Kluyveromyces lactis: one gene and its partners. The protein of the gene in region 2 purifies or fractionates together with the protein of the main gene of each other region. This does not show direct contact. Links are inferred from orthologs where the notes say so. Each region holds a gene or a part of one and is shown on either strand. Other genes may lie near its edges. The genes, in order: DBP2, KLLA0_A04730g and RBG1.

Region 1 (3,756 bases), on a different chromosome or scaffold from region 2:
TGGGTATGTCTCGCTTTGGTCGCATTTTCTCATTTCTTTTAGTTTACTTTGCTTTTTGTTCGGGATCCGTTGTTTATATACTATGGTGTGGTACCCTGAGCGTGGCTATGAGCAACACCTGTGCATTGCGCGGTAACTGATGAAGTGTGTGACACGTGATCTGGTATTTCGCATCAACTTGCTTCTTTCAGTTACCCGGTCAAGACCGGGTAAGCTTTTTGTTTTTTCCTTTAGCATGATTTGGTTTTCCCTCTTCTCTCTATCGAAAAAACCATAATCAATATTGACAAATTGTTCAGCTTAACAGAGTAGGTCATCTCGTCTTATTGACTGTTTGAAAGAAGTACGCACAAACCACCTAAGTGACCATTCATAAGCGCTCTCGGAAATATGGCTGAAGTGGAAAAGCAAGATGTTGATATGCTAGCAGCTGAACAAAATGATCAAGTTGATCAAGTGGAGGAAGAAGTGGACAGTGAAAAGATCAAACTTCTCACAGAAGCTACTTCCGAAGATGGTACTAGTGCTTCTTTCAGAATAACAGATGAAGATCATACCCTTGGTAACACGCTTCGTTATATGATCATGAAAAACCCGGAGGTAGAATTCTGTGGTTACTCTATTCCTCATCCTTCAGAAAACTTTTTGCACATTAGAATTCAAACATACGGCAAAATTACTGCTGTAGAGGCTTTGCACAAGGGTCTTGGAGATCTAATGGACATGTGTGATGCTGTAGAGGACAGATTCACGCAAAGAATCAGGGAAATGTAGAAATTGGTTATCTCCAGCTCCCGCATTAACTATATATAAGAGAATAGAATTAAATACACAACTACATCATCCTTGTATAATACACTATAATATCTATTGATTCTACGTTTATAGCTACTGGTAATCTAGCACATTGGAAGCACCGTTGGATATACCATTGGCAAAAGTAGCTGGAGTGGCTAATGTAATCACGTGACCATTTTGGTAAATTGGTACATTGGTACAAATTTCTTTTTCTCTCTTTTTTGTTTCTTTTTGAAAAATTTGCAAGTTCCCTCATCGCCCTTTGAAACTAATATATAAGCTGCAAACATTATTCAAACCTGTCTCTGATCCTCGTTCATTCAGTATTACAAGTGTGCATTTTTTTTTATCGTTTGGTTCTCAACATCAAGCAACTTATTTCACACATTATACAGAGAACAATGAGTTTCGGCGGTGGAAGAGATCATCAATTTAACAGAAACAACATGGGCAGCACTCATGGTGACTTCCGTGGTAGCAGAGGTTCTGACAGAAACAGCTACAACAGAGGTAATGACTTCCGCGGTGGCCGTAGCTTTGGTCGTGGTCCATCTCGTGATACCAGAGTTGATTTGGTCGCTCCAAACTGGGACGAAGAACTACCAAATTTGCCAGTTTTCGAAAAGAATTTTTACCAAGAACATCCAGATGTTGCTCAAATGAGTGAAAGTGAAGTTATCGAATTTAGAAAGGAAAACGAAATGACCATTTCTGGTCATGACGTTCCAAAACCTATCAGAAGTTTTGATGAAGCTGGTTTCCCATCTTATGTCTTGGATGAAGTTAAGCAAGAAGGTTTCGCCAAACCAACTGGTATTCAATGCCAAGGTTGGCCTATGGCTTTGTCTGGTAGAGATATGATTGGTGTCGCTGCGACCGGTTCCGGTAAGACCTTATCATACTGTTTACCAGGTATCGTTCATATTAATGCTCAACCTTTGCTATCTCCAGGTGATGGTCCAATTGTTTTGGTATTGGCTCCAACCAGAGAATTAGCTGTTCAAATTCAAAAAGAATGTTCCAAATTTGGTGCTTCCTCTAGAATTAGAAACACTTGTGTCTATGGTGGTGTTCCAAAGTCTCAACAAATCAGAGATTTACAGAGAGGTGTAGAAATCCTGATTGCTACTCCAGGTAGATTGATTGACATGTTGGAAATTGGTAAGACAAACTTGAAAAGAGTCACTTACCTTGTCTTGGATGAAGCTGATAGAATGTTGGATATGGGTTTCGAACCTCAAATCAGAAAAATTGTCGATCAAATTAGACCTGATAGACAAACTTTGATGTGGTCCGCTACTTGGCCAAAGGAAGTTAAACAATTGGCAAGTGACTATTTGCATGATCCAATTCAAGTTCAAATTGGTTCTTTGGAATTGTCTGCATCCCACACAATCACTCAGATCGTCGAAGTCCTTACTGATTTCGAAAAGAGAGATAGATTGGCCAAGCATTTGGAAACCGCTTCTCAAGATCAAGACTCCAAGATCATCATTTTTGCTTCCACTAAGAGAACTTGTGATGAGATCACTTCTTATTTGAGAACTGAAGGCTGGCCAGCTTTGGCCATTCACGGTGACAAGGCTCAGAACGAGCGTGATTGGGTTTTGGCTGAGTTTAGGTCCGGTAGATCTCCTATCATGGTAGCAACTGATGTTGCTGCTAGAGGTATTGGTATGTTATTGAAATTTAATTTTTTCAGCATTGGTTTGAACTTTAGTTTACATTGAGACTATCGTCAAACCTTTCTACTAACTATATTAGACAACTGTCGAAGTCATTTCTTTCGAAATGATCACGATATGCCTTTTTATTCGAATGACACGGATGTTTTCGATTCAAAGGTAAAAAATAATGAGCTGGTCTTATTATTTATCAACGAAATCCTATTGGATTTGGTGCGGACAGAGAAAAGGATATGAAAATACTTTTCATTTTGACTTCCACAATTATTGATAAAGATTTAGAGACTTGACCAGTCCGATGTGATTTGATTTATTCAGATCTCTAGAATTAAAAGTAGATTGGCAAGCTTACTAGTATTCATGACAATCAGGTTTTGATTGGACCGTTGGGTTCGAATGTGTGGTGAAGTAGCTTTTACACAACGTGGTTTTCTCGTTGCATTGAAGGCTGTGATGAATTACCGGACATTCGATACTTTTTCTAATCATGTTATCAATTTGACATCTCTTTGATGCAATTTTGCTGAAAGATGTTCTTTATTTTTAACATGATCGTTTGAGTTAGATCAGATTCGCGTATCATTAATTGTGCTTAGTAGTAGATTGGAACATGAACCTAATGAAATAAGGATTCATTCATTTTAACAAAGAGGTTAAAGAATTAAAAAACTGATAAAATAGCGTCACAGGATGGTTTCCCTGTTATGCAAAGTGTGCATTCAGTTTTATTTTTGCGATTCCTCTTAGTAGTTGTTCCATGTATTCTATGAAGTTAGAAAGAAAAGTACATATTTGCGACATAAGCAAGCCTTACATAAATCTTTGTCTTCCACCGACTATTCTGACATGAATAAGCCGCGCGGGCTAATGTTATAATAAATCGTTGATTGCGCCCTCTGGATTTTATATTCTCATTTGGAAGTGCTTCGAACTTGTGCTGTCAATATAGTTACCATTACGATTTACGAACGAACTTACTAACTTCATTCTTATTCAACAGACGTCAAGGGTATTAATTACGTTATCAATTACGATATGCCAGGCAACATCGAAGATTATGTGCATAGAATTGGTAGAACTGGTAGAGCCGGTTCTACTGGTACTGCCATCTCCTTCTTCACTGAAGGCAATAAATCTCTGGGTGCTGCTTTGATCAAGATTATGAGAGAAGCTAAACAAGATATTCCAGAAGAACTAAGAAGATACGACAGGGGTCAATACGGCCAACATCCAAGATATGGTGGCGGCCGTGGTGGTCGTGGCTTTGGTGGTG
Region 2 (3,756 bases):
CTATTCGAAAGTCTTGGTATCGCTCAACCTAAAGGTGTTATTCTATACGGTCCGCCAGGTACTGGTAAGACTTTACTAGCGAGAGCCGTAGCACATCACACAGACTGTAAATTTATCAGAGTAAGTGGTGCCGAATTGGTGCAAAAATATATCGGTGAAGGTTCCCGTATGGTCCGTGAGTTATTCGTGATGGCTAGAGAACATGCGCCTTCTATCATTTTCATGGACGAAATCGATTCTATCGGTTCCAGTCGTGTTGAAGGATCTGGCGGTGGTGATTCCGAAGTGCAAAGAACCATGTTGGAATTGTTGAATCAATTGGACGGGTTTGAAACTTCGAAAAACATTAAAATCATCATGGCTACAAACAGATTGGATATATTGGACCCTGCATTGCTAAGACCAGGTAGAATTGATAGAAAAATCGAATTCCCACCACCAACCGTAGCGGCTAGAACAGAGATTCTAAGAATCCACTCAAGAAAGATGAACTTGACCCGTGGTATTAACCTAAGGAAAGTCGCCGAAAAGATGAACGGATGCTCTGGAGCTGACGTTAAAGGTGTTTGTACCGAGGCTGGTATGTACGCACTAAGGGAACGTAGAATTCACGTAACCCAAGAAGATTTTGAACTAGCCGTGGCCAAGGTCATGAACAAGAACGACGAAACTGCTATCTCTGTAGCAAAATTGTTCAAGTAAGGATCCTTCACCCCTTTCATCTCAAACAGCGCATATCATTAGATACATCCCTACATATTATACATAAGCCACGTACAACACACGCCTGTGGTTGTACCCCCGTGTCAATATGTTTCTAATCAGATCCTCTCTTTTTCCCCCTCATCGCATCTCATCTCGTCATAAACTTGACCATCATGTCAATCTTCTCAATATACACGAAAGAAGAAAAAAAAAATTTTTACATTGTAAAGAGGAAAAGCTGTGAATCTTTTGAAATAAAATTTCAACCTTTAAGCCATTGAATTTTACCATTACGATAGCACATTTTGCATAAAACAGGATAGAGGAAAAGAGGCACAGAGAGCTACTGCTGATCTGATAGTCAATAGATTTATCAGCACTTGTATTGTTTGAATTGTTAGAGAGTAACAGTGGACAGTAAAGAAACAAATCTGGGAAAAAAAGAATCTCACAAGAAAGTGATAATTTTTTTTTGTTCTTCGTTTATTTGTTTAAAGAGAAAGAGTTAAGAATTGGACTTTAATTTCATTCTACTCATTCGTGTTTCTATATAACTCGACTCGTTTTCTCTAGGTACTCTGGATTACTCGGTTACAAGAGAGAAATTAAACAGAAAAGAGCTTAGATCCAGCTAATTTCATCTGAAGAAGAGAGAAAGAGCGGTTTTTCAAAGCAGATATGGGCGAACCTACATCCGATCAGCAACCAGCTGTTGAAGCTCCAGTTGTGCAGGAGGAGACAACCAGTTCTCCGCAAAAAAACAGTGGATATGTCAAGAATACTGCTGGAAGCGGTGCTCCTAGAAATGGGAAATATGATGGTAACAGGAAGAACTCTAGGCCTTATAACCAAAGAGGTAACAACAACAATAATAATGGTTCTTCCTCGAATAAGCACTATCAAAAGTATAACCAACCAGCGTACGGTGTTTCTGCGGGATACATTCCGAACTACGGCGTATCGGCAGAGTACAACCCTCTGTACTATAACCAGTACCAACAGCAGCAACAGCTGTACGCTGCTGCTTACCAGACTCCAATGAGCGGACAAGGTTATGTCCCCCCAGTAGTGTCTCCAGCTGCTGTTTCAGCTAAACCAGCGAAGGTTGAGATTACTAACAAGTCTGGTGAACACATAGATATTGCTTCCATTGCTCATCCACATACTCATTCTCATTCTCAATCTCATTCGCGTGCAGTTCCAGTAGTGTCGCCTCCAGCTAACGTTACCGTCGCTGCTGCTGTATCATCCTCTGTGTCTCCATCAGCTTCTCCAGCTGTCAAAGTACAGAGCCCTGCTGCTAATGGTAAGGAACAATCTCCAGCTAAGCCTGAAGAACCAAAGAAGGACACTTTAATTGTGAACGATTTCTTGGAACAAGTTAAAAGACGCAAGGCTGCTTTAGCTGCTAAGAAGGCTGTCGAAGAGAAGGGTCCTGAGGAACCGAAGGAATCTGTCGTTGGAACTGACACTGATGCAAGCGTTGATACTAAGACAGGGCCTACAGCCACTGAATCTGCCAAGTCTGAAGAAGCTCAATCAGAATCACAAGAAAAGACTAAGGAAGAGGCTCCAGCTGAGCCAAAACCATTGACTTTGGCCGAAAAATTGAGACTTAAGAGGATGGAAGCTGCAAAGCAAGCTTCTGCTAAGACCGAGGAACTAAAGACTGAAGAATCTAAGCCTGAAGAAACAAAGACCGAGGAGCTAAAGACTGAAGAATCTAAGCCTGAAGAAACAAAGACCGAGGAGCTAAAGACTGAAGAAACAAAGTCCGAGGAACTAAAGACTGAAGAACCTAAGGCGGAAGAATCAAAGGCGGAAGAACCAAAGCCTGAAGAACCAAAGACCGAGGAACCGACGACTGAACAACCAAAGTCAGATGAACCAAAGTCGGAAGAATCAAAAACTGAAGAGCCAAAAACCGAGGTATTAAAGACTGAAGAACCAAAATCGGAAGAATCAAAGCCTGCAGAACCAAAGACTGAAGAAACAGCAACTGAAGAAACAGCAACTGAAGCAAACGCCGAAGAAGGTGAACCGGCTCCTGCTGGTCCCGTTGAAACTCCTGCTGATGTTGAAACAAAACCTCGAGAAGAGGCTGAAGTTGAAGACGATGGAAAGATTACCATGACCGATTTCCTACAGAAGTTGAAAGAGGTTTCTCCAGTTGATGATATTTATTCCTTCCAATACCCAAGTGACATTACGCCTCCAAATGATAGATATAAAAAGACAAGCATTAAATATGCATACGGACCTGATTTCTTGTATCAGTTCAAAGAAAAGGTCGATGTTAAATACGATCCAGCGTGGATGGCTGAAATGACGAGTAAAATTGTCATCCCTCCTAAGAAGCCTGGTTCAAGCGGAAGAGGCGAAGATAGATTTAGTAAGGGTAAGGTTGGATCTCTAAGAAGTGAAGGCAGATCGGGTTCCAGGTCCAACTCGAAGAAGAAGTCAAAGAGGGATGATAGAAAATCTAATAGATCATACACTTCCAGAAAGGACCGTGAAAGATTCAGAGAGGAAGAAGTCGAAGAGCCAAAGGTTGAGGTTGCCCCATTGGTCCCAAGTGCTAATAGATGGGTTCCTAAATCTAAGATGAAGAAAACAGAAGTCAAGTTAGCTCCAGACGGAACAGAACTTTACGACGCGGAAGAAGCATCAAGAAAGATGAAGTCATTGCTGAATAAATTGACATTAGAAATGTTCGAACCTATTTCTGATGATATCATGAAGATCGCTAACCAATCTAGATGGGAAGAAAAGGGTGAGACTTTGAAGATTGTCATCCAACAAATTTTCAATAAGGCCTGCGATGAACCTCATTGGTCATCAATGTACGCGCAATTATGTGGTAAGGTCGTTAAAGACTTAGATGATAGCATTAAAGACTCAGAAACCCCAGATAAGACTGGTTCTCACTTGGTTTTGCATTACTTAGTCCAAAGATGTCAAACTGAATTCCAAACAGGATGGACTGATCAACTACCTACAAACGAAGACGGTACTCCTCTACAACCTGAAATGATGTCCGATGAATACTAT
Region 3 (3,102 bases), on a different chromosome or scaffold from region 2:
AGCCTGATAACAGTTCTGCATACAACGCAAGGCAATACGCAACTCCACGACTAAAAAGAATGGCGTTAAATAAATAAGGGATTTATTTCTCTGCGAATTTATCCGTTATTCAATGGAATACACTCTCATCAGTAGGCTGCATTTTCCTCCAGATTTCCTTGTTTGTTAATTCAAGCTGTACTATATCGCACCTTAAAAGGATTCATTAAAATACTGCTGTGATTTTGAGGATTCCACCAATACTATTCACATTCATTTCTAATAGAATAATATTCACTTCGTCAAATAACCGAAGTTTCATTCATTCATTCTTTCTTTCCATATCACCATCAGCATCCATCATTGCTTTTATATCTTAACATATATGTTGGCCAATATAAAAAGGCCATATGTATCCGTTGCTATCGATTTCACAAAATATCATATATTTACTACTATTTATGAATTTAAACATAACACGACAAATCAGTATTGAGTTAATGTTTAACAGAAGTTATGGCAACCTGAGTAATGAACGTTTACGATAATCTAACCAGATCCGTCTATGGAAAGCTGTTAAATAAAATGGATAACACTACATGAAAATGCGATGAAAATGCTAAAAACTATGATGACGGTGAGAAGAATGAGAAAAAAAAAGTAGCCTGTATTCATTTCTTCAAAATTGTGACAACATCTTCATCTTCTAATGTGTGATTAAGCCCCACATATTGAGGTTGATGCTTCACACTGCTGCCGTACACTAAAGCATTTCTGAAGTCCTCAACTAAAGATTTGTGAATTTGGTTACAGAAATCTCTTACGGTACACCTATCCGACCTTAACACCACTGGGTCTGTGAAATCAGGCATCGTACCCTTTGGCTTAGTATAAACACGGACTAAGTTTAGTCTATCCCACATAACTTCTAGTAGTTCATCCAAATTCCATTCCTTACCAGAAGAGATTGGAACTGCATTTGGAATTCTGTATAAAAGTTCCAATTCTTCTAATGACAAAGAATCTATCTTGTTTAGCACATAAATAGCTGGCATATACCTTCTTGATGGAGCTTCAAGTACATCAATCAAATCATCGACGGTGGCATCACATCTGAAAGCAAGCTCCGCACTGTTGATTCTATATTCACTCATAACAGCTCTAATTTCGTCCGGGCCTAGATGCGTCAATGGTACTGTATTTGTAATGGAGATACCACCTTTTTCCTTTTTCTTGATTAAAATGTCTGGAGGTTGCTTGTTCAAACGGATACCAACACCTTCCAATTCCTTTTCAATGATTTGTTTATGATGCAATGGTTTATTAACGTCCAAAACAATAAATAGTAGATTACAAGTTCTGGCCACAGCGATAACTTGTTTACCACGACCACGGCCATCTTTAGCACCGTCAATGATACCCGGCAAATCCAACATTTGAATCTTAGCACCCTTATATTTGATGACACCTGGAACCGTAACTAAAGTGGTAAACTCGTACTCAGCAGCCTCAGATTCTGTACCAGTCAGCTTAGAAAGTAAAGTACTCTTACCCACTGAGGGGAACCCAACAAATCCGACTGAAGCAACACCGGTCCTGGCCACATCGAAACCAACACCGGCACCACCACCACTACCGCTTGAAGCAGCCTGCAATAACTCTCTTCTAAGTTTCGCTAGCTTAGCTTTCAACTGACCCAAATGAAAAGAAGTGGCCTTATTCTTTTGGGTACGGGCCATCTCATCTTCGATGGCCTTAATCTTCTCTACTGTCGTAGACATCTTTTATTTCAATTCAGATATTGATCAGGAAATTCTTCAAAATAAATCCTTTTTTTATAATTTGATGCCAACCTCAGTGGAATACTGACTGATACCTATCGATTCCAACCGTTTAACTGATTTTGGCCTCTGTAACCAAACTATAATGAAACTCTAATATCATTAATCCTAAGCGATGAGATTGTGAATATCTGTAGAACTTCCTACTGTTGACAAAGATGAAGCTGTCAATTTTTTTCAAGCCGTCCAAGGTGATATTTTATACATCTTCAACGCCGATCGTAAATAGCGATGCTGAATGGCATCGACCGGTCTTCACCCCGAAAATAAGGCTAATGGGACCTTTCTGGCCCCTGAAAGATGAATTTTGGGCGCACCTCACCAAAGACAGGGTAATCTAGTATGTTATTTTTTTCTTTCCATCGAGGTACGTATAATCATGAACTTGAAGTTTTTCATCAGTTTTTTATTTTTTAGTACAGGTTTTTCTCACAACTTAAAACTATTTGAAAGATTGTTTTGCGTAAGATCAATTAAAAGGATTTTACATTATCTCTTTACTTGTTATAACCCTCTTTTACACTTTGTTTGCTGTCTATCATAATAAGATTTCGGAAGAACTGTAAAAGTAGAACCTTTGTATCCGAAAGAGTAGTTCAAGATGGCGAAAAAATCAAAGAAGAATCAACAGAATTACTGGGACGAAGAGTATGAGGAAGATGTTCCTCAAGAATCTTCAGTAGAACCCTCGATAGATGGTTCTGTTGAGCCAAGTGGTGAAACCGAAGTTGCCGATGCATCTGCCATTGAGGAAGATTTTATGTCCACTTTGAAGAAATCTAAGAAGAAGCTGGACAAGAAGGAAGACGAGGATACTAAGAAGCCAGTCTTGAAGTCCAAGAAGGAAAAGGAAAAGGAAAAGAAGGAGAAGGAGAAGGAGAAGAAGAGGGAACAAGCCGCAAAGAAGAAGGCTCAGCAACAAGCGCAGAAGGAAAACAACAAGAAACTTCATGCTGAACAAACTTCTAAACTGAAGGCTGAAAAGGAGGCTGGCAAGTCCACTGAAGGTGCGGCACCAAAGGCTGCACCAAAGAAGAAGGTCCCAGCCGGTCTTGCTGCTTTGAAACGTCAATTGGAGTTACAAAAGCAGCTAGAAGAAGAAGAAAGGTTGGCCAGGGAAGAAGAAGAGAGATTGGAGAAGGAAGAAGAAGAAAAGTTGGCCAAGGCTGAACAAGAAAAGGAAGAAGCTAGAAAGGCTAAGCGTGAGAGAGAACAAGCTAAGCGTGAAAAGTTAAAGGCAGAGGGTAAACTTCTAACTAAGAAACAAAAGGAGGAAAAGAAA

What was found.
Region 1: the proteins of KLLA0_A04730g (region 2) and DBP2 purify together in Saccharomyces cerevisiae (affinity purification with mass spectrometry; 3 studies listed by BioGRID, with this or other methods). This does not show direct contact. The link is inferred for Kluyveromyces lactis from reciprocal best matches to the Saccharomyces cerevisiae genes TIF4631 and DBP2.
Region 3: the proteins of KLLA0_A04730g (region 2) and RBG1 purify together in Saccharomyces cerevisiae (affinity purification with mass spectrometry, with the first as the bait; 3 studies listed by BioGRID). This does not show direct contact. The link is inferred for Kluyveromyces lactis from reciprocal best matches to the Saccharomyces cerevisiae genes TIF4631 and RBG1.

Annotation. Positions count from the first base shown.
Region 1 is NC_006042.1:2,215,573-2,219,328, reverse strand, and holds the start of DBP2 (DEAD-box ATP-dependent RNA helicase DBP2), read left to right. Parts: upstream 1-1,199; coding exon 1,200-2,472; intron 2,473-3,483; coding exon 3,484-3,756. Other genes in the region: DNA-directed RNA polymerase core subunit RPC19, read left to right, coding at 391-774. UniProt on the Saccharomyces cerevisiae protein: ATP-dependent RNA helicase involved nonsense-mediated mRNA decay and ribosome biogenesis through rRNA processing. Associates directly with chromatin, correlating with transcriptional activity.
Region 2 is NC_006037.1:422,556-426,311, reverse strand, and holds the start of KLLA0_A04730g (uncharacterized protein), read left to right. Parts: upstream 1-1,383; coding exon 1,384-3,756. Other genes in the region: proteasome regulatory particle base subunit RPT6, read left to right, coding at 1-702. UniProt on the Saccharomyces cerevisiae protein: Component of the eIF4F complex, which interacts with the mRNA cap structure and serves as an initial point of assembly for the translation apparatus.
Region 3 is NC_006042.1:2,172,748-2,175,849, reverse strand, and holds RBG1 (GTP-binding protein RBG1), read right to left. Parts: upstream 1,761-3,102; coding exon 651-1,760; downstream 1-650. Other genes in the region: KLLA0_F23309g (uncharacterized protein), read left to right, coding at 1-77; FUN12 (translation initiation factor eIF5B), read left to right, coding at 2,422-3,102. UniProt on the Saccharomyces cerevisiae protein: Involved in ribosomal function.